6 linked regions of the Cricetulus griseus genome follow. The protein of the gene in region 1 interacts with the protein of each later gene in a pairwise test. Links are inferred from orthologs where the notes say so. Each region holds a gene or a part of one and is shown in the gene's direction. Other genes may lie near its edges.

Region 1 (4,141 bases):
CGACCTTTTGTATGGACAGCTCTCCTTCAGCCTAACCCTCTACACCCACCCAGCCGGGGCCAAATTTATACTTCTATAAATGTTGTAAATATGTGAAATTTTATCCCGTGCCCTCCCTCCCCTCTGCTTACCCCACTTGAGGCCCTACCCGGTCCCTCCGCCCTCCTCTTTGGCTGTTGTAATTATCTGGGGTTTGTACTGTACATAACCGGGGTGGGGGCTGGGAGGCGACCCCTCTGTACAGAGCTTCCCGGCTCCCGGCCCGCCCCTCTCTCCCGCCTCCAGCCACCTTAAGAGTAGGGAGCCGCTCTTCTTACTCGTTTTGTTTCCTTTGTTTACTCGTTCTCACCGCCCTCCTCCCAGCCCCGTCGCCCCTCGCCCACTCCCGGCCCCTTTCCTTTTTTTCTGGAGTGTGTGGTGAAACAAAACTCATGTTTAATAAACGGAGATTGTTCTTTTATCGCTGGACTGACTTTTTTTTTAAAGATTTATTATGTAGACAACATTCTGCTTCCATGTATGTCTCACTGCACACCAGAAGAGGGCAGCAGATCTCATAACGGATGGTGTGAGCCACCATGTGGTTGCTGGGAATTGAACTCAGGTCCTCTGGAAGAGCAGTCAGTGCTCAACCTCTGAGCCATCTCTCCAGCCGGGGACTGACTTTCATTTATTTAGTTGTCGAGACAGGGATTCTCTGTGTAGCTTTGGAGCCTCTCCTGGCACTCGCTCTGTAGACCAGGCTGGCCTGGAACTCACAGAGACCCGCCTGCCTCTGCCTCCCGAGTGCTGGGACTAAAGTGGGCGCCTCCTCGCCCGGCACCGGAGTCCTGGAAGCGCTGAGGGAGTGGCCGGCGCTGCTCGGGAGAAGGCTGTCAGCCCGCGGCGGGCGGGCTCACCCAGGCGTGAGTGCGGACAGCGCACAGCGGCCGAGCGCCCACTCGGCTCTCGCCCAAGCCGCCGTCTGCGCGAAGCTCTCCGGAGGGGACGCCTCTGCGGGACGCGGCCGAGACCCGCGGTCCTGGGCGAGCGCGCGCCGCAGACTTCCGGTCCGGCCGCCCCGCGTGCACACCGCGGACGGCGCACCCACCTCGCCCTTCCCGCCGCCGCCGCCGCCGCTCCCCGACGGTCCCAGCCCTGCCCCCGGCGGCACAGCCAATAAGAAGGGGGCTTGTAGGCTGCCGTCCTTCCATTGGCTGCAGCCCGGCTCCGCCCCGCCCCCCCCCGCCCGCGCGCCTGGCTGCAGCGGTCCGGCGGAGCGGCGGCGGCTTCCGGCCGAGCAGACGCAGCGGAGGCCGGGCGAGCGGCGAGCGGCGAGGTGAGGCGGGCGTGCGGTGGGGGCGTGCCGGCGGGAGGGCGCGGCGGACGGCCTGTGTGAGCGCGGCGAGGCGGGCGGCGACCGGCCGGCCCGCAGTCGCGCCCGGCTGCCGCGGGGCCTGGAGGTGAACACCCGGCGCCGCTTCTCTCGCTGGGGCGCGGGACGGAGGCGCGGCGGCCGCTGGACACGGGCGCCTGGCCCGAACCTGGGTGACCCGCTCTCTCCTCCTCCTCCCAGCCTTGGGTCCGCGGAGCCCCGCAGGCCCCCGACGCCCTGCGCCTTCTCTCCCCGAGGTGGCCATGGATGCGGCGACGCTGCCTCCCACGCCGCCCTCTCCCCGGGGCAACCCAGCCTCTCGGACCATCCACATCGAGTTCCCTCATCACAGCTCCTCGCTGCTGGAGTCCCTGAACCGCCACAGGCTGGAGGGCAAGTTCTGTGATGTGTCCCTCCTGGTTCAGGGCAGGGAGCTCAGGGCTCACAAGGCGGTGTTGGCCGCTGCCTCGCCTTACTTCCACGACAAGCTGCTTTTGGGGGATGCGCCCCGACTCACTTTGCCGAGTGTCATCGAGGCAGACGCCTTCGAGGGACTCCTTCAGCTCATTTACTCGGGGCGCCTCCGCCTGCCGCTCGATGCTCTCCCTGCCCATCTCCTTGTCGCCAGTGGCCTGCAGATGTGGCAGGTGGTGGACCAGTGCTCGGAGATTCTTCGAGAACTAGAGACATCGGGTGGTGGTGGAGTCTCGGCTGGCGGAGGAGCCTCCTACCACACAGTTCTTTCCACAACCTCTCCGGGAGGCTGGTGCATCCGGTCCTCCCCTTTCCAGAGCACAGCGCGGTCCTCTGCTCCCACAGAGAGCTCGGCTTCTACTGAGAGCCCCGTGGGAGGGGAGGGGAGCAAAGTGGAAGAAGGAGTGTTAGAGATTCAGGTGAAGGAGGAGGAGGACGAGCAGGGGTCAGCAGCCCCGCTCTTCCAGACTCCTCAGCCTCAGAGAGTATCCGGAGGGTTTCCCCACGCCTGTGCACCCCACCCACTGCCCACATCTGCTCTTCCCAGCAAGCCTCCGGAGGAGGAGAATTCAGCCCTTGAGCCTCCTGCCCCTCCTGGCCGAGCTTCCCAGGTCTTGTATGTCAATCAGGAAGCCCTTGAGTCTAAGGAGGAGACATCAGGAAGTAGGACTCGGTCTGGAGGAACAAAGGAGAAGACCAAAGCCGTTTCTGAAGGGGACTCTGAGGGAAATGGGGAACTAAGATACTTGCTGTCCTCAGGAGGAGGGGAAACCTCTGGAGCAGGGGATCCACCCTGGAAGCCAGTGGATCTTCACGGGAACGAAATCCTGTCAGGGGGCGGGGGGCCTGGAGGCTCGGGGCAAGCTGTGCATGGGCCTGTGAAGCTGGGAGGGACGCCCCCCGCAGATGGGAAATGCTTTGGGTGCTTGTGTGGAAAACGGTTTGCAGTAAAGCCGAAGCGGGACCGCCACATCATGTTGACCTTCAGCCTTCGCCCTTTTGGATGTGGCGTCTGTAATAAACGCTTCAAGTTGAAGCACCATCTGACAGAGCACATGAAGACCCACGCTAGAGCTCTGCATGCCTGTCCCAACTGTGGCCGTCGGTTTCGCGTCCATGCCTTTTACCTGCGCCACCGCGACCTGTGCAAGGGCCAGGGCTGGGCCACTGCCCACTGGACTTACAAATGACTGCTAATGCTGTATACTGACTTCTAGGATAAGACATAGCCGCTGCTGCTGCTGCTGGATTCTTACCCTTCACCACCTCAGTCCTGGATCGTGTAGCCATCCCAAGAGATGAGATACGTTATGAGCCCCTTACTGTTGGCTATGGGCCTCACCCTCGTGTGCTCGGAAGTTCAGGGTTCTCAGTTCAGCTGTTTGTTAAGCAGACTCTAGGAAAGTCATACTTTTGATCACTTAAGCTATGTGGCCCTCTTTGTTTTGATAGCCAGTGAGGAAACCATTGACTTCAGATGAAGTTAGTGAGAGAAGAGTTGGAACAAAATGACCTAGTAACTTTTACTTCACCTTCACCAGGAGGTAAGGGAGCTGGTCTCCAACTAGAAACGTGTTTGATTCAGAGCTCAACCAATTGCCAGACTGAACTCCATGAGTGCCCCCACCCACCCACCCACCCACACACACACACACACACTCGGCAGTGCGCTGTTTCTTTCTAGAAGCTTTTAGATTGTACTTTGCCTTCTTACCAGTAGACACCTTCCAAAATATTCTTTTAAAAATGTACTTAAGCCAGGTGACGGTGGTGGCGCACGCCTTTAATCCCAGCACTTGGGAGGCAGAGGCAGGCAGATCTCTGTGAGTTCAAGACCAGCCTGGTCTACAAGAGCAAATTCCAGGACAGTCTCCAAAGCCACAGAGAAACCCTGTCTTGGGGGGAAAAAAAAAATGTACTTGAGCCTGCAACAAGTGTGGTTACTCACACATTTAATCCCAACACTGGGGAGCAGAGTTAGGCGGATCTCTGTGAGCTCCAGACCAACCTGGGTAGCATAGTTTCAGCATAACAAGTTTCAGGCCAGTCAGGGCTACACAGTGAGACCTGGTCTTTTTAAAGAAAAAAGTACTTGAGCACTTTAACATATCAAGCATTTCATATGTAATTGCAGAACCCTAAGAGGATATTCCCGCAACAGCCTTTGCTCTTTCTTGTCTAGACTACCACTGACAACTTGCTTATGATCACAATGACAGATGTGACCAGTGAACTCAGGAGATGGCAACTGACCTAAAACGCTCTCAGGGTAGCGCTGTTGCTCTCTGAACAAATTGCCCTGATCTGAAGGAC
Region 2 (3,500 bases), on another chromosome or scaffold:
TGCATCAAAGTCAAATGCTAACGTCTTTCAGATTGTCACATCCTGTCTATGTCCTTAAAACAGTTAAACTGCATCTGTGATGGGGAAATAGCCATCTGACCTTAAACTTTTGAAAGAAATCAAGTGTGCAGTGGCTTTAGGAGGCAGTTCTAGTCTTGGAGGGGGGGGCAATAGCAGCTTCAAGGATAGCACTCCCGGGCTGCAGTGTCCTGCATGGGTGAGGCCACAGCCCTGACATCCATCCTCCTTTCTCTTCCACTTGCCCCCCTCCCCCCAACATGTTCTCTTCCTGTCCTCTCTTCTATCCACACTGTCTTCTTTCGTCATCCATGAATAACACCAACTGTAGACTGCACAGGTCTCCTCATCTTCCTCGGCCTCCCCTGCCCTGAGGACTGGGCTAATGTATTGAATAACTAAGTGATGGCTGTAGCTCCTGGTTCTCCAAAGGAGCAGGGTGAGGAGGAGCCACACACTGCTAACCCCTGTCTGCATGCTGTGCTGGAAAGTGCTCTTTACGTCCTACAAGATGGTGTTCTCTTAAAGCCCTTCTCACAGCTACAAGTACTTAATATTTGTGTATTCGAGTCATGGTCTTGGCATTTGGCTGAGAAAAACGGGATGAGCCTGCAGAAGCCCATGGTGCTACCCAGGCCGTTCACTGGCTGCCTTGGAGGATGCTCAGCACACGACTGTCATGCTCTGTGTTCTTCTGTAATGGTCATATGTTATAAGCTCCGGCAGGTTCTCCATCTAACTCTCTTAGGTGTACATTTTTGCCATAACGGTTCATTCTTGAGATGGCAACCCTTTTTAGACCACATTTTGTGGTAGTGAGTTTTGGTAACTAATTTGTTGTATTTTTGCCTGATTTTTTAAACCATTTTATTGGATCATTTGATAAAATTACAGAACCATAAGGTTCTAGTAACTAACTCAAGGTCACAGAGATTGTTCCTTTGTTTTGTTTTATTTTCCTAGAAAATTTTATATGTTAGGAGTTCAGTAGAATGATGATTCATTTGGAGGTGCGTGCTTCACAAGGGACAGTTCATTTACTTAGTACCTGTGTATACAGTTATTCCATGTCCTTTTGGGGAAAAAGACTTCCTCCCCCCCACCTCCCCCGGTTGACTGTCTTCCCTCCTGTCCTGAAAATCAGTTCACTCTATTGAAAGAATTTACCAATGAACTTTCAATTATCTTCTGTCACCAATCATTGCATCATATTGCTTCCCACCTGCTATGTATTTTAAAGATTTTGTAGCCCCGTGGTGGTGACACACACCTTTCATCCCAGCACTTGGGAGGCAGAGGCAGACAGATCTCAATGAGTTTGAGATCAGCCTAGTCAGGACGGTTACACAGAGAAATCCTGTCTGGAATCCCCCCCTCAAAAATGGTTTTGTCATTGTTAAGAAAAGAAAGTGAATATTTTTGAATATATGATATTAACTAAGAACTGGCATATTTGGACCAACAGATTAATATTTAATCTACTATAAAGTTGTCTTGACCGCAGAATAAAAAGAGAATGTACATTTCATGCCTGGATTAGTAGCTTAATACTTTAGATCTTCTAAATTTTACTTATGGTCTGAAATTACTAAGATAGCAGATATGGGAATTAGTGTTTCCTTAAATAATAACACAGAGTGTCTAGTTGGGTCATTGGAACCATGCACTATTGTTCAGCTGTGGTGGGGTCCTGTTGCCTTTGTATTATACTTGCAGTGCTCTGATCTTTTGCAATTCCTTTTAGATAAACCCATAGAACCCCGCAGAATCTTAAATAAGCCAGTTCCAAGCTTGCCCAACATGGACAGAATTTTCGCAGAAGCCATCACCAAAGTACGAAAGCAGTTCCCTGGCCGGTTGGCTCCAGAGACTTGTGTCCGTTCAGTCCAGGCCTCTGTGAAGCACCCCTATGAAGTGGGCATTAAGGAAGAAGAAAAGCTGTTTATGTACCTTCGGGCATCGGGACAGGCTAGAGCCCTGCAGTATGCCTTTTTTGCTGAAAAGTCTGCAAATAAGTGGTCCACTCCCTCTGGAGCATCTTGGAAAACAGCGTCTGCTCAGCCAGTCTCCTCAGTTGGAGTTCTTGGTAAGTACATTCTTCACACCTGTGTATTTCTTTTCATCAATTGAGAATTTCATACATGTGAAATTTGGATCAAGTCCCCTCCCTTGTTCCTTTTCCTTCAATTTCCCCCATAGCCTCCTCCCACCACTGTTTTCCCCAATTCCATGTGTTCTCACTCTTTTTTTAAATCACAGAGGTTTCTTAGTGCTGCTAGTATGTGCATGGGTGTGAGGCCATGTACTGTGACACGGGTAGCCTCTTGGGAGGGTGGGCTCATCCTTAAAGAAAGCCGACTCTCCCTCTGCCAACAGCCATCAATGGCCAATAGCCCCTCATCTGGGGGTCGCACTTCCTGCCCCTCCCCCTTTATGTTGGGATTTTTGTCTGCTTGATCTTGTGCAGGACTTGTGTGCACTGTCAGACAGGTTGTCAGTTCATATGCACAACTGCACTGTTGTGTACAAAAACCACAGCACACTTCAAATGTCACTCGCTTGGGGCTATTAAGTTCTTTGTTGAACTTAGTGCTCATGTTAGCTCTTGTTAATTCATGTACTTGCCAGAATACATGAACTCTCTCCATCCTGAGGGTCAGCCCTAGGGATCTTTCAACAGTAGCAGTCCTGTGCCCACATGGGCCGTAAGCCCAGAGTTAATTTTAGACTCTCAGTCGACTCCATCTGCCTTGAATACTTCAGTTCTGTCAGAACCATTGAAATCATTTTTTAAAACAGTGTTTTGACTCTCCTAGGCTTCTTGCATTTCTGTATGAATTGTAGAATCCACTGTTAATTTATGCAAAAAAACATGATGGCACAGAGTTTGCATTGGTTTTACAGATCAGTTTGATATTTCATCTTACCAATATTAAATTTTTCCTTGTTTGTGAACAGTGGATGTCTTTTGACTTACTTAGGTCTTCTTTGATTCCTTTTCTTTCTTTCCCTCCCTCTCCCCCTTTCCTTCCTTCCTTCTTTCTTTATTTTTTTCTTGTTATCAATGTTAGGTGTCAAACTCAGGGCCTTGTGCATGCTAGGCAAGCACTTTAACACCGAGAACTAAATACCCTGGCCATTCTTTAATTTTTTTCAATAGTGTTTCATTAGTTCTAGTCCAGAAGTCCTCTTTGTTAAGTGTATCCCTTTCAGTGTATTATTCTTTTTGGTGTTATTGTAGGTAGAATTATTTTCTTATTTTCATACAGATTGTTCATTGCTAATCTGCGGGGATGTATTTGGGGCTGGAGAAATAGCTCATCAGTTAAGATACCTGTTTGAAACATCAGGATTTAGACCCCAGCACCCATGTAACCCCAGCTCCAAGGGGGACAAAGGCAGGAGGGTCACTGGGGCTTGCTGGCTTCCAGACTAGGTTAAAATACACAAGTACCCACCCTCTTAAGAAAGAGGACCCTGTT
Region 3 (3,500 bases), on another chromosome or scaffold:
GTAATGTTGCTAGAATGTGTTATTTTTTTTTAATTTTGTGTGTGTGTGTGTGTGTGTGTGTGTGTGTGTGTGTGTGTGTGTATGTTCACACTATAGTTCATGGAGGTCACAGGGTAACTTTTAAGAGTCTGTTCTTTCTTTCTGCCGTGTGAGTTCCAGATACGGAAGCTCAGGTCCTCAAGGTTTGCACAATTGTCTTTACTCGATGAGCCATGGAGTCTACCTCAGCCTTGACTCCCTGAGCTGTGGAGGATGGCCTGGCCTTGACTCCCTGAGCTGTGGAGGATGCCCTGGCCTTGACTCCCTGAGCTGTGGACCCTGCTCCAGTTCTTAGAACTTGGAATTAGTTACAGGTTCTGAGAGGCAGAATAGTAATCCTATTTCAGGGAGAGAAAATATTTTGTGCAAAATTAATGTAGTTACTAGCTTCTGAAAGAAAGACCTTGGTGTTTTGATACAGATACAGTAAAAATTGATTTTCTTGATTGAATTTAGTATAACACAAATCAGCTTCTTTTAATAAGTAATGGCCATCATGTGAATTTTAAAATATGTCCAGATATATGCATACATAAGTATTCTTTTACTGTCCGTAAAGATGAATTGTTCCAGAATTGCTGTAGTTTTCTTGTATGTACACGTGTTAATGAAAAGCTGTTTTGTTTTTTTTTTTTTTTGTTGTTGTTGTTTTTATGAAAAGCTGGTTTATTTAATGGAAAGAATACTAGACTAAAAATTGGAAAATCTGTTTTTTTAAAAAATGACTTATTTTATGTTCATTGGTGTTTTGCCTGCATGTATATCTGTGTTAGGTGTCAGATCTCTTGGAACTAGAATTACAGAGGAGGAGTGAGAGGAGGAGGAGTCGTCTCAGGTCTGAAGCAAACCCTATGTGAGCTGCCATGTGGGTTCTGGGAATTGAACCTGGGTCCTCTGAAAGTGGAGCCAGTGCTCTTAACCACTTAGCCATCTTTCCAGCCTGAAAAATCTGTCTTAAAAGACTGAGTTTTACTATTTATTATAAACAAGTGACTCTAGCAAGTCATTTTACATTGATAACTTAAAAACTCTTAAAAACCCTTCTCCTATACATAAATAAAACTTTTGAAAGGGGGATGGGTGAGTGGAGGGATGACTCAGAGGTTAAGAGCACTGGCTGCTTTTCCAGAGGTCCCGAGTTCAATTTCTAACACCTACCTGGTGGCTCATAACCATCTATAACATCAAATCCCATAGGTTCTGATAACTTCTGGTGTGCAGATGTACATGCAGATAAAACACGTGTATATATATAAATACATAAATTTTAAAAAATAATTAAATATCCTGCCAGGTTGTGGGTGTGGTGGCAGACACCTAAGAGATGGGGAGATCTCTGTGAATTCAAGGGCCAGCCTAGTCTACATACCAAGTTTCATGCTAGCCAGGGCTACATAGTGAGACCGTATTTCAATTTAAAAAAGACTTATTAAATCTTAAATTCTTGTACCAACTTGGATTGCAGCCATGTTTCTTTCATTGTCATTTTCCAAGGCATTAATTTTTAATTTATGCACGATGCTCCATTAGTACTTCATGAAGTCACTTTGATGGGCTATAGCATTTCTCTGTGTAGCCCTGGCTGTCCTGGAACTCACTCTGTAGACCAGGCTGGCCTCAAACTCAGAGAGATATGCCTGCTTCTTCCTCCCAAGTGCTGGGATTAAAGGTGTAGGCCACCCCTCCCTGCTGAGTTTCTTTCTTTCTTTTTTCTTTTCTTTTTTTTTGTTTTTGAGACAGGGTTTCTCTGTATTACTTTGGAGGCTGTCCTGGAACTCTCTCTGTAGACCAGACTGGCCTTGAACTCACAGAGATCCCCCTGTCTCTGTCTCCTGAGTACTGGGATTAAAGGTGTTCGCCACCAACACCCAGTGCTGAGCTTCTTTAAGCTTAAAAAAATTAGTTGATAAGTTTAAGTATCCAGTTGTGAGGTGACACTGTCCTTTAAAATTTTTGACAGTTTATTTTCTTTGGTTTAGTTCATCTCGTTGATATCTGGAACATGATTGAAGCTTTCCGAGACAATGGCCTTAACACACTAGACCATACCACTGAGATCAGTGTGTCCCGCCTTGAGACCGTCATCTCCTCCATCTACTATCAGTTGAACAAGCGCCTTCCTTCTACTCACCAAATCAGCGTGGAACAGTCCATCAGTCTCCTCCTCAACTTTATGATTGCCGCGTATGACAGGCTAGTACTCATATGCTCACTTTTAAATCCTGCCCATCTCTTCATCGACACCCCCCCCCCCACTGCATTGCTAACTTTTGCCAGCTTAGAGCCACAGTGGAGGTGAGTTACTCAGTGTAAGTCCTTCCTACCTTCTGGACAGTCTCTGCTGTCCTCTGGTGTGCCACAGATGGAGCTGTGTAATAGGTAGGGAATCACCCACTTGAGTCAGATTGCCTGGTAAAATGATAGGCACTTTAGCAGACTTGTTCCCTCTCCCACAATTACGAAATGCTTAAGCTTTGAACCTGCTGATATGGCTTTCTAGTTGACTTTAAGGCTAATATTTCTTTACTCTGTAACACCAAACGGCTTTAGACTCATGTTTTCTCTTAAACAACTAAGAATCTATTTCAGACTTTTTCAGTTTTGATACACTGTGTGGTAAACTTTACAACAAGGAGCAAGAGACCACTTTAGTGTATCACAATTAAAATGGAAAGGATTTGCTCTATAAAAAACAAAACAGAAGCAAACCAAACAAATCCTAAAGGATGGACTGTGGAGAACTGGTTCTGCTCCAAGAGCCAAGAGTTCCTGTTTCTTCCCACTGCTGTTCTTCTGATCATTGGATTTGGATGAATAAATTCTCTTGCTTCATTGTTTCTCTATAGATTTATGCTGAGTTTATACATTTGTAAAATGGTATTAGTTGTGGTAGCAAAAATTCTGTGTATTAGTGAGGAAATATAGATGTGTCAAAGCCAGGTCACATTTTAGGCTTTCCCAAGATTCATAATGTGTTTATGTTACCAAGTTAGATATTTTACCCATTTGGTAAAAATTATTTAAAGAAATTTGAATTTTAAAAAGTTCCCAAATCTTAAAATCATTTAAAAATAGGGTTATGGATTAAGTTAATCTTGTACTCTTTAAGAATCAACTCTTGCAATCCAAAACCCTTGACAGAAATTATTATTCTTTGTGACCAAGTAGCATTTTACCATGGTCCTAATCCCAGGGGCATAGCCACTTCCAGGCTTACACAACATAAATCAGTTCAAAAATCAATTTTTAAAAATGTAGTAATAGGCCAGGCAGTGGTGGCTCACACCTTTAGTCCCAGCACTTGGTAGGCAGAGGCAGGAAGATCTCTGTGAGTTCGAGACCAGCCTGGTCTACAAGAGCTAGTTCCAGGACAGCCTCCAAAGCCACAGAGAAACCCTGTCTGGAAAAACAAACAAACAAACAAAAAACAACAAAAAATGTAGTAATAAAAATTACCTTAC
Region 4 (3,500 bases), on another chromosome or scaffold:
GGCATGCCGGCTGCTGAATCCTCAGATTTGGCAAGGACTTTCTTATAGCTGTAGGCAAGGGGGGGGAGTGGTGGGAGTCTGTTATCCTGGAGCCTCAAGACATTTGCTGCTAAACCATGTAATCTCAGGCAGCAGTGATCTTTTTTATTTAAAAAAGAAAAAAAAGTATTGGTGGACGTTGGTGGGGTGCACCTTTAGTTCCAGCTCTCTGGAGGCAGAGGGAGGCAGATCTCTGAGTTTGAGGACTGCCAGGGCTACACAGAGAAACCCTGTTTCGAAAAAAACAAACAAAAGGGTATTATTTTATGTGTATGGGGTTTGGCCTGCATGTTTTATAGCATGTGTGTGCCCCATACTCTCAGAGAGTAGAAGAGAGCCTTGGACGCCCTGGAGCTGGAGTTACAGGTGGTTGTGAGTTGCCACCTGGGTGCTAGGAATTGGACCCGGGTTACATGTCACAGAGAGGCAATCTGCTGTTGCTTTTGAATGTATGGTTTATTGTCCACTTTAGGGAAAGTGAAAATAACTCACAGCAGATGAATCTGAATCTAACAATCTATCTCTAAATTGATGCCATGGATGTCTGGGTACCCACTCACAGTGGGTAGAGTTGGCATAAGCAGTTTGTAAGTACAGTGCACAGCAGGCTAGCCTGTCCACCACCAGGGAAAGGACAGTGGGTGAAAGCTAGCTGCTCATGTCCTCAGCTATGCTTAACCAGGTTAACCAGGATGCCTAACACTCAACGGTCACCAAGGTTATAGCTAGGCTAAGGCACAGGATCCTGGTGGGAAATCCATTCATTAGAAAGGGTCCCTTGTCACTAGAGTTCATGGCTCGTGTCCATTGAGGTACATTGGAGACCAGAGTGTGAGCTGCCTGAAGTTCATCTTTGTAGACTCTGGTCACTGCTTCTGGCTGCTGCAGGCCCCTGGTTCCAGGGCTTTACTGATTACACCCAGGCACTAGCTTCTGGGACTTTTTCTTTTCTTTCTTTCTTTTTTTTTTTGAGATAGGGTCTCCCTTTATGTAGCCCTGACTGTCCTGGAGCTCACTGTGTGGACCAAGCTGGCCTTGAACTCACAGAGATCTGCCTGCCTCTGCCTCCCAAGTGCTGGGATTAAAGGCTCGGACCACCATGCCCAGCTGATGCTATTTTCTGGTGTCAGCATGTTCTGATGTCAAGACTTTGAGCAGAAGTGCCTCCATCTTTATTTTTGGGGGGGGGGGCGTTTAAGTGTTCACTGCAGTTCTCTGGAAGAACAGCTAGTACTCATAATTACTGAGCCATCACTCTAGCCCCAAGGTGTTGCCCATCTCTTTATGGGCATTCAATGTGTGGTCTCCCCTCAGAACCTTCTGTGTGGTTATTAATGGGGTTATGATTGCTCTGACGCTTTCCGGCTCAGGCTTCGGCTTTGTGTTGGGGGTTTCTGGCCAGGGGCCTCGGGCTAGGCATGCCTGTCCTCACATTCCACCTGACCCCAGGCTCTCCTCTTCCCTCTTGGCCTCCAGGTGCGCTACAAGGAAGAGTTTGAGAAGAACAAGGGTAAAGGCTTCAGCGTGGTGGCAGACACACCCGAGCTGCAGAGAATCAAGAAGACCCAGGACCAGATCAGCAATGTGAGCTCCTGCCCGCTGTTACCCAAGCTACCCTCTGCCCTCCTCTCTTATCCGCTCCCTAGCATCCCTGCTTTGGTTCCTCAGGAGGGCCTGCTGTGTGGCAGTGGCTTGAATGGAGGGAAGGGAGAAGCTGAGGTTCCCAAGTGCCCTTTCTTTGTTCCCCTCTTTGCTAGGCATTCTGCCCAAGTGGTATTTCCTCCTTAAAGAGACTGCCCTTTTAGAGTGTGTGTGTGGAGGGAGGGAGGGAGGGAGGGAGGGAGAGAGAGAGAGAGAGAGAGAGAGAGAGAGAGAGAGAGAGAGAGAGAGAAGAACCTAGAGGTCCTGGACCACTCCTAAGGCTGGTCCAGAGTGTTATATGCATGGGGATGTTAAGTTACCTTCCACTCTCTAGAGTAGCCCCCTCTCCCCCCAGGCATGGTGGGGGGGGCAGGGTGCAGATTAGATGCTTGTTTTAGCACCAGGGTCAAAGCTGGGGCTGGGGTGGGGGGGTGGTTTGAGCCTCCTGTCTGCCTCTGGGTGCTAACACTGTAGTCATTTCCGCTCTCCCTCACCAACCTCCCACCTCAGCTTGCTCTTCCTTCCTGTGTGAAAACCCAGCTGGCGTTGCCCGCCGACCCTACCCTGCCTCCAGGCCTTCTCAGGCCGGAGCTGGGGCTGGCCATCGGTGTCTGTTGGGTGTTGGGTGTCTGGCTGTTAGATGGGTAGGCGTGAGGAGTGGGTGGTGAAGTGACAGTCTCTGTGTGGTCTTTCAGAGAAGCTGGGGCTAGAGGACAGGCCTCAGTTTCCTTCTTTGCACAGCCATAGCTTGTGTGTCTTTGGGCTTGCAGGGGCCTGATTTGGAATATGTGGGAGTAGACATCACAGAACATGGGTGCACACCTGAGCACAGAGCGTTAGAACATGCCCTATCAGCTGCAACAAGACTCCTGTAAATGAAGGGTGAGGCAGGCACTGTCCTCGTGTCTGTAACAGGAAAGGACCCACCAGTTGCCTATGTCACTCTGGGCTGAGGGACTAGGGATTGGGTGGATAGGATCCAGATTCAGATGGCCTACCTACGTCCCCACCCTCCAGGTTCCAGGTCCCTCAGTGTCCTGCCACTCTCATAAGCGAGTTGGGCTATGCCCCTGGTGAGTTATAGTGGAGGGTCAGGTAGATTCCATGAAAGGGGTCGGGGATAGAACCACCCCTGCCCAGGGGAATAGCTTTCAAATTCTGCCCTCTGTCTAGAAGAAACATTTTCTTTCTTCAGTGGTACATGCCTGCTCTTAGGAGTCTGAGGCAGGAGAGTCATGGATTCAGAGCCATTCTGGAGGTTGAGGCAAAGATCAAGAGGTTGAAGCCATTCTGGGCTCTATAATGAGCCCCTGTGTGAGACAAAGAAAATTTCTTGGAGGAGGACTAAGGATGTAGTTTCCCAGTGGAGCATTCACCCAGCATGCACCGGGCCCAGAGGAGGAAAGAAGGAAACCACTGTCGTGAATACGTGCTTTGGACTTGGAGAGCTCATTCAGATATTTTCTGTTCTTTCATAAAAAGAGCCAGGGATAGTCTGACCAAGTGGGTTTTGCAACACAGTCGTTGCACTGAAGTTTAAGATGAACGGCCTGAGGGAATGCACTGCTTCTCCTGGGCTGGAAGGTGATCCTCAGAAGCTTCAAACCCTGTCGGGCCCCCAGGAAACTTTCTTACAGTTGCCCTCTTCCAGCCTGGGCCTGACTCACACACCCTGGAGTTTCCTTTCTGGCTCAGACCACACAGAGGGTAAAAGGGTGTGTCAGAGAGCTCCCTAGATGGAGAGAAGGGAAGTGGTGTGACCTTGGGTGATTGGGAAACCATGGAATGGCTCACAGAGCTCCAATCATGTGACTTTGTGT
Region 5 (4,121 bases), on another chromosome or scaffold:
GCCCTCTGATGCCCGTTCTCATTCTCTTTGCCTTGCAAAGCAAAAGTAGCCATATCCTCTTCTACTTCTAGTTCAACCTTGCATGTCTCCTCTGTCCTGTGTGTGCCTCAATCTTAGGCTTTTTTTTTTCTTTTGGCTTTTCGTGATAGGATCTCTCTGTATAGCTCTGGCTATCCTGGAACTTGCTCTATAGACTAGGCTGGCTTTAAACTCATGAAGATCCGTGCTTCTGCCTCCTGAGTGCTGAGATTAAAGGCGTGTGCCATCAACATCGGGCTCTATTTATGTTTAAAAGCCATCTAATAGTAAAGGCAACCTAGGCTCATTCCTGTTTATGATTAAATCTGTTTCTCAAAGATTGGGCTATGCCTCACCTGCAACCTTAACTACAAATGGCTCTGTACTGCCTGTTCCAGGAAGCGGCAACCATGCCTTTGTTTCAAAAAGTTGTTTATAACCATCTTGCAATCCTATCCTTGTTTCAAAGGTTGTTATGATTACCTGTTGCTATGACTACTTTATGACCACCCTGCAATCATGTATGTTTCAGGAGGTGGTTATGACTAGCTTCTTATGCTTATGTTCTGCTCCTGTAACCCCACCTATTTTCCCCCTTTTGGAAATCCCCTATCCCTAAACTATAAAAACTTTTGTCTTCCTCACATCTAATGCTGACCTCTTAAAGCTCACCTTAGGGGGAGGCAGCCTGTGTACACGAATAGAAAAGCTTGTTTTAATTAATTGCTCGCTTTAATTAATTTGGCCATGATGATTTGGGCCAGTGGTCTTTCTCCTTCCTCCTTTACCTGTACTTTCCAGGAAGTCTGGGGAACGTAATTGTTTCAGTGTTTGAGAACGAAGACAAAACTGTATAATAAGACAAACGTGTATTTTGCTGCAGTTGGCAGTACTGTTCTATACAGGTGTTATGATGCTGTTTGAAATCTTAAAAATTACATTTATTTATTGTGTGTGAGCACATGTGCCTGTTCGTGCCACCAAGGACATAGAGGGGAAAGGGGAAACTGCAGGAATTTGTGGGGCTTAGGGATCGAACTCAGGTCGTCAGGCAAAGGGGCAGCCTCTTAGGGGCCCTCAACTGTAGGTTCTTTCTCTCCTCCCCTCTCCTGTCCTCTCTCCTCTCTCTCCCCATTTCTCCCTCCCTCTTTCTTTCAGCTATGCTCCCTAAGTCCTCTTCTCCAGGTTCAACTTTAATTATTAGGATTTACTGTGGTAAGTGACATCATCTACCACTGACACAATTTTCGACTCTTCTGGTCTTGCCGCCAGGTCAGCAGAAAACGAATCTGCGTTTTGAGAATCGGCTTTTGGCTCGTTTTGCCTGAGGAAGTCGTCTGCGCGGTTGGGCTGCCTGGGAGCCACGTGATCTAAAGGGATGATGGCGGGCGCAGCAGAAGACGTGCGAACGCTCTTCGGAGCTGCTATCCGCGCGGCTCTGGAGGCTTGGCCTGCATTACAGGTGAGTGAGGCCACGGCGGGGGTCACAATTAGAGCTGGGGCAAAATAAGAGCTGGCAGGGCGAGGTGCCAGAGCCTCGGCTGGGCGGTGTAGGCGGCACACTCCCAGGCCATGGCAGGCCACGCCACTCTGATTTCCATGCTGTCATGGTTGGCTTGGGCCTGTGTTCACAGATCGCTGTGGAGAATGGCTTCGGGGGCGTACACACCCAGGAGAAGGCCGAATGGCTGGGGGGTGCAGTGGAGGATTACTTCATCGCCAATGGTGAGTGAGTGTGAGACATTGCTGTCTGTCTGTCTGGTTTTGGAGCGGCAGAGCCTCGTTCTGGGGAGCCCGCGCTTTCTCATGCCGAATGAATGGTGACGTTGGAATCAGACTCTTGCGTTTCGAGTGCGTTGCAAGCAATGACACTGCATAGTGCTATGATCCTGGACAACACATTTTTACCTTCCAGAGAGCCATTTTCTTAGTTCCTAAAATGGTTATGAAAAGATCTGGTTAATAGAACTCTTCGAGCCATATCATGTAGCTTGAAAAAAAAATGCTGTCTCGAAAAATACAAAAAAAACAAAAAAAATTGCTGGATCAGGGGAGGGAAAGATGGCGCCGTGGGCAAAGGCTGGCAAGCATAACAATTCGAATTTGATAGATGGGACCACGTGGAAGGAGATATGAGTCACTTAAGATGTCCTCTGACTACCCCTACACAAGTAAACGTAATTTAAAAATTGTTGTGTGGGAGTGTAGCCCAGTGGTAGAGCACTTTCCTAGCATGCTCATGTTTCTGGCTGCCATTCCTAGCACAACCAAAACCAACAGCAGTACCTCTAATAAAATAAAAGGCCAGACCCTGTGTTGCAGGCCTGTAAGTCTGAACAACTTCACCACGACCTTGTCTTACAATAAAAAATAGAGTTGGGGATATAAGCTTGTGGATGTGCTTACCAACTACTGTGAGACTCTAGGTTCAGTCCCCCCCTGCCACGAATGAATGAATAAGTAAATGAATGAAAGAAGCAAATATAATAGTATTAAATTCATAGCCAATCTAGCATATGGGCCATGTGATTCTAGCACTAGGGAGACTGAAGTAGGAGAACTGCTTTGAGTTTGAAGCCAGCCTTGGTTATATACCCAGAACTTGCCTTTAAAATAAAAAAGGGGCTAGAGAGATGCTTAGTTTCCTGTTTTTCCAGAGGACAGAAGTTAGGTTCCCAGCACACATGTCTGGCAGCTCACAAACTCCTGTAACTCCAGCTCCAGAGGATCCAAAGTCTTCTTCATCTGCACACATGTGCACCTATACATAATTAACAAATAAGTAAAATGCAGATGGAAAGATGGCTCAGCAGTTGTTCTTTCAAAGGACATGAGTTCAGTTCCCGGCATCCACATGTTGACTCATACCTGTCTATAACCCCAGTTCCAGGGGAATCTGACACTATCTTCTGTCCTCTGTGGGCACCAGGCATGCACATAGTGCACAGGCAAAATCCTCCTCCAAAATATTTCAATATGTCATAAGAATTAAGCATTTTACACATTTTTAGGATTAAATTTGACAGTCTGGAATTTTAAAGGTCTTAATGGGGGCACTTCTTAATTGAGACTAGCCACATTTCAAGTGCCTGTGCTCAGTGACCACACATGGCTACTTCTACAGCAAAGATCTACACCTTCCTTTTATCTTTGTGGGAAATTACAGAACAAAAGGACCTAGTGGGAATAGTACATGCTGTGGTTTTTATAAAATTCTCCATTGATATCCTAGTTTTACTGGATGATAAGTGTTATGATAAAGAGGTGCTCAGAATTCTTGAGTTATCTGAGCCTGAGGAGAAGCCTTTTGTTTTTTGTTGTATTTTGGTTTTTGAGACAGAGTTTCTCTGTGTGTCGCTGGCCTAGAACTCTGTAGACCAGGCTGGCAGCCTTTTTGGGGGAGGGGGGGCGGGGTCAGAGTAGTGATTGGGGTGGGTCTTAAGGAATGAAAAGGAGTAAACTAGCTAGAGACATAATGCACACTCAGAGGAGTTGAGGAGATAAGTGTTGTATTTTGAAAGGGCCAGCTGCATTGTAGTAAGGGAATGGAAGCGTGGTAGAGTATGAGTGTGTGTGTGCAAAGACACCCTAAAGTATAAGGGATGGGAGGCCTTGTGTGCCTTTGATTATATCCTTTAGGCCAGTGTTTATAAAATTCAAGCTATAGAAGACTTGTCCACTTAAGATATTCAATGCAGAAAAGGTTTCTCCAGTCAAATTACATAAGCTTTTTTCCCCAGCTGATATTTTAGTAGTAGTAGTAGTAATTGGAGACAGTATCTCCTTTTATAGTCCAGGCTGTTGTGGAATTTATGTTCCTCCTGCTTCATTTTCTTGAGTGCAGGGATTGCAGGTGTGTGCCAATGATCCTCGCTTTGTTTTCCATTAGCTTTCTATGAAAATCCTCATTAAAACTCAGCAAAATTGAGCTGGGGATGTAGCTCAGTTGGTAGACTACTTGCCTAACATGTAAGAAGCCCTGGTTTCAATCCCCAGAGCCACATTAACCAGGCATGGTGATTCATGCTTGTAATCTTAGCATCTAGAAGATGAAGGCAGGGGGATCACCAGTCACTAGGAGTTCTAGGCTACCCTTGAGCTAC
Region 6 (3,500 bases), on another chromosome or scaffold:
GGCCATTCTTACTCAAACCATCATAGGTGCTGTCACTTAAAATGGTGTTATTATAGGAGTAAAAACCTTTAGATGTCCTTGTTCCCATAGAACTCATGTCTGTGTGTACATGTATATGTAATGCATTTGCTTAGTAGATAGAGAATAAAGAGGTAAGAAAAAAACTTAAGAATAACAGGAGACTCAGAGGTAAGCTCTGTGATCTCTTTGCAGAGCTGTTACTTAAATGCACTTTTGTGCAACACATACTCCAGTGCCAGAACATTTTTCTGAGGAAAAATGTCCTAAAAGACATCAAAATCTTGTCTTCCCTAGGTCACATATCCCTGACTCTGTGTAGACATGTTCCTCCCGTTGTCCTCAGCATCCTTTACCTGCTTTACATGTCAAGACCAGCATACGAATTTCCTCTTAAGGTTTCTAGCCATATGCTCTCACCATTGAGTGTGCACTGTTACAGTAGTACTCATTAGACTGGCTGTTATTAATTTGTTGTCTGAGTTAAGATCTGAACTTCAAGATGGGCGTTAGTGGCTCACACCTTTAATCCCAGCACTTGAAAGGCAGAGGCAGGCGGATCTCTGTGAGTTCAAGGCCAACCTGGTCTCCAGAGTGAGTTCCAGAGCAGGTTCCAAAGCAATATAAAGAAAAGATCTGAGCTTCTGTCTATGTACTTGCTACTTAGAGACAGCTTATTATGTCTGTGTTTGAAATGTGACTTTATTTCCTAAAATAATTTTGATTCCTAAAATAGTTCTTATAAAAGTAGATTATTTTTTGAAAAATCTATTTAGTGTTTTTATGAAAATGATTTAGATCAAGAATGCTGCCTTTTTGTCTTTGCTTTTTTTTTTTTCCTTCTATTTCTCCTCTCAATAACATTGAAATAACCATTGAATTAGAAAGTAACCAGAAGTCCCTGATCTTCAGAAGTGTTCCTTTGGTATTCAAAGATGACGCTGTGGACTAGTATTTCACTTTCTATCTTTCTATAGGATGATGCAAATAAAAATGGTGGCAAGTGGATCATTCGACTTCGGAAAGGCTTAGCATCCCGCTGTTGGGAGAATCTCATCCTGGCCATGTTGGGGGAGCAATTCATGGTTGGGGAGGAAATCTGCGGGGCTGTGGTCTCTGTCCGCTTTCAGGTAAGTCTACCCGGCCCAGTGTTCTTTCTTGTGTTGCCGCTGCTACTCTCATTGATGCTTCTGGTTGGTTTGATAATTCATTCTGTTCCTCCCTTAGGAGGACATTATTTCTATATGGAATAAGACCGCCAGTGACCAAGCAACCACAGCCCGAATCCGGGATACTCTTCGGCGCGTGCTTAACCTACCTCCCAACACCATTATGGAATACAAAACTCACACCGACAGCATCAAGTACGTGTTGGGGGGGTTGGGGGGGACAGGTCCCTGAGCTTAGCAGAAATAGCTCCATAGTTGGGCCCAGACGCATGTGGGCATACATGACCCTGACTTGTGGAGTAGGAACACACCAGCCCCTCCAGGGCTTTGGCCACTTGCTGAAGTTCTTGTTAGTGAGGACCTACTGTGAGGTGTTGTGGAGCAGAGAGCCCTTCTGCAGGATCCCAGTTTTCCTGCCTATGCTGGCTTCATTTTTACAGGCTGTCTTGTCTTTCCTATGCTAACCACTGCTTTAAAATGAAAGACAGAACTCTTTCAGTGGTTTTTTTTTTTTTTTTTTTTTTTTTTTTTTATGGCTGTTTTTAAAGACAATTTCATTAAATAATAAAATCCTCTTCCCTGCCCACCCTGACCCCACCTTTGCATGTCTGTTTAACCTGTTAGCTTTAGTCTGTCTTCTTTGTCTTCGGAGATTGACTTTTTATCAGAGATGGTGACTCCACTTTCTATATATAGAGTTGAAATCTAGAGGAAGCAGGGTAGATTGTGAGAGAGGAGAACAGAGGGAAGGTAGAGTCACAGTACAAAGAAACAATGAGTGCTTTCCACGTTGAGAATCCCTGGTGAGGGCTTGCTCCTTCAGTGACAGAGATGAGCTCAGGTCATTATGAATAGGTTATGGGAGTGGCTGCCAGATTGTCTCAAAGGTGGATGGAGAGCCAGCCAGCCAGGAGTCAGGTTTCTCTATGTGTATTGTCTCCTGTGGCCCTGAGTCAGTATGTGCCTTTGGCAAGTCTCTGCAGCTGTGCTTCAGTTTCTCCAGCTATAAGACAGGAGTACAGGAATAAATAGTAAGGTTGTGGTAAAGCTGGTTTAATCTTTGTAACTGAGGGTCCTCAGAGCAAGAAAGCTCTTACAGGACCAAATATTATTGCTGTCATCATTAGTACAATGTCATCATCATGGCATTCCTATTCAAGACTAACAGTGAGCCAGTAGTTGTGTTCATCAGCAGGCAGACTATATGAGACTCTCTTTCCCATGCATTCACATATAATGTTGTAGGTGGAGTTTGCTTATACCAGCTAGGTGCCAGTTAATAACTGGGAGTACTGCCATGGGAATTGGTGGCTGCCTCTGACTCACTGGAGCCACCAGCACTCATTTGCCATCTATGACCCTGGTTGCTTGTCTCAGCAATCCTGTATCAACATTATTTTTCTTAGAGTAGATCGGTCTTACTCTCTGCTTCAGGATAGAGGTAGTGTCTGCCCTCCTGCTAGGTTTAGTCCAAGCTCTAAAGGTCTACATCTTTCCCTAGGATTCTTGTTAGCTAGGTTCCCGTTTACCCTGGTTAGGAAAGGAAAGGGGTAGTTTTCATTCACTCCCCAGTGTTCTCCCTCTCTGATACCTGGAGGCAGTTCATCTTGACTTGTAAAGTCCCATGAGCAAGTCCTTCCAGGACCTAGGAGCCTCGGGACTCCTGCCCTGCAGCTGTAACGCCCTCCTCAAGACCCAGATGCCACTTTCCCTTGCTCCCCACTCTCTTTCCTCTCCCAATGAGCTACCTTTTGCACTTCCACTAGAATGCCAGGCAGGCTGGGCCCCCAAAGGCTCCTTTTTCAAAACCTCTGGAAGCCGCGATTGAATGTGCCATGACCCTCTCCCTCTCTGGATGGCACCATCATTGAAGCTGGCGTCATCGGAGTCTCTTGTTCTGTTGGCGTGCCACCTGGAAGACCCTTCTGTCCTGGACAAGAGGAACGGAAGAGCATGTTATGCTTTGAGAACAGGCTGACAGCAGCAGCTACAACAACAGCTGAGATCACAAATAAATGGTGCTAAACCAGCTTGTCTCATGCTCTTGCTCTTTATGGTGCATCAAGATGTGGCCTTTGGATTGACTGTCACCATTATCGAGGGATGGCACACAGACTTCTCCATGCAGGGCCATTCAGGGAATGCAGCTTCATATCCACAAGCCTATTGTGTAGTTATATGGTACTTTATTCCTGGACTCTTGCGGTCTGACATAATGAGGTGACATCTAGCTCTCAAAGTAAGCCCCTACTGCCTGGTGCTCAAGTGTACTAGTTCCCATCCAGTTAGACTGATGGCTGGCCCAGAGTGGTG

Evidence for each region.
Region 2: the proteins of Zbtb9 (region 1) and Ehhadh interact in binary tests that used the Homo sapiens proteins (3 or more experiments, as listed by UniProt). The two-hybrid records come from large-scale screens. The link is inferred for Cricetulus griseus from reciprocal best matches to the Homo sapiens genes ZBTB9 and EHHADH.
Region 3: the proteins of Zbtb9 (region 1) and Dtnb interact in binary tests that used the Homo sapiens proteins (3 or more experiments, as listed by UniProt). The two-hybrid records come from large-scale screens. The link is inferred for Cricetulus griseus from reciprocal best matches to the Homo sapiens genes ZBTB9 and DTNB.
Region 4: the proteins of Zbtb9 (region 1) and Lasp1 interact in binary tests that used the Homo sapiens proteins (3 or more experiments, as listed by UniProt). The two-hybrid records come from large-scale screens. The link is inferred for Cricetulus griseus from reciprocal best matches to the Homo sapiens genes ZBTB9 and LASP1.
Region 5: the proteins of Zbtb9 (region 1) and Tsr2 interact in binary tests that used the Homo sapiens proteins (3 or more experiments, as listed by UniProt). The two-hybrid records come from large-scale screens. The link is inferred for Cricetulus griseus from reciprocal best matches to the Homo sapiens genes ZBTB9 and TSR2.
Region 6: the proteins of Zbtb9 (region 1) and Eif4e2 interact in binary tests that used the Homo sapiens proteins (3 or more experiments, as listed by UniProt). The two-hybrid records come from large-scale screens. The link is inferred for Cricetulus griseus from reciprocal best matches to the Homo sapiens genes ZBTB9 and EIF4E2.

Annotation. Positions count from the first base shown.
Region 1 is NW_023276806.1:232,169,860-232,174,000, forward strand, and holds the start of Zbtb9 (zinc finger and BTB domain-containing protein 9), read left to right. Parts: upstream 1-1,341; 5' UTR 1,342-1,617; coding exon 1,618-3,018; 3' UTR 3,019-4,141. UniProt on the Homo sapiens protein: May be involved in transcriptional regulation.
Region 2 is NC_048597.1:67,170,130-67,173,629, forward strand, and holds part of Ehhadh (peroxisomal bifunctional enzyme), read left to right. Parts: intron 1-1,762; coding exon 1,763-2,104; intron 2,105-3,500. UniProt on the Homo sapiens protein: Peroxisomal trifunctional enzyme possessing 2-enoyl-CoA hydratase, 3-hydroxyacyl-CoA dehydrogenase, and delta 3, delta 2-enoyl-CoA isomerase activities. Catalyzes two of the four reactions of the long chain fatty acids peroxisomal beta-oxidation pathway.
Region 3 is NC_048600.1:14,491,897-14,495,396, forward strand, and holds part of Dtnb (dystrobrevin beta), read left to right. Parts: intron 1-2,018; coding exon 2,019-2,232; intron 2,233-3,500.
Region 4 is NC_048600.1:110,966,742-110,970,241, forward strand, and holds part of Lasp1 (LIM and SH3 domain protein 1), read left to right. Parts: intron 1-1,515; coding exon 1,516-1,623; intron 1,624-3,500. UniProt on the Homo sapiens protein: Plays an important role in the regulation of dynamic actin-based, cytoskeletal activities.
Region 5 is NC_048604.1:108,371,190-108,375,310, forward strand, and holds the start of Tsr2 (pre-rRNA-processing protein TSR2 homolog), read left to right. Parts: upstream 1-1,321; 5' UTR 1,322-1,396; coding exon 1,397-1,480; intron 1,481-1,652; coding exon 1,653-1,743; intron 1,744-4,121. UniProt on the Homo sapiens protein: May be involved in 20S pre-rRNA processing.
Region 6 is NC_048595.1:438,873,390-438,876,889, forward strand, and holds the end of Eif4e2 (eukaryotic translation initiation factor 4E type 2), read left to right. Parts: intron 1-995; coding exon 996-1,148; intron 1,149-1,245; coding exon 1,246-1,382; intron 1,383-2,953; coding exon 2,954-3,026; 3' UTR 3,027-3,216; downstream 3,217-3,500. UniProt on the Homo sapiens protein: Recognizes and binds the 7-methylguanosine-containing mRNA cap during an early step in the initiation. Acts as a repressor of translation initiation.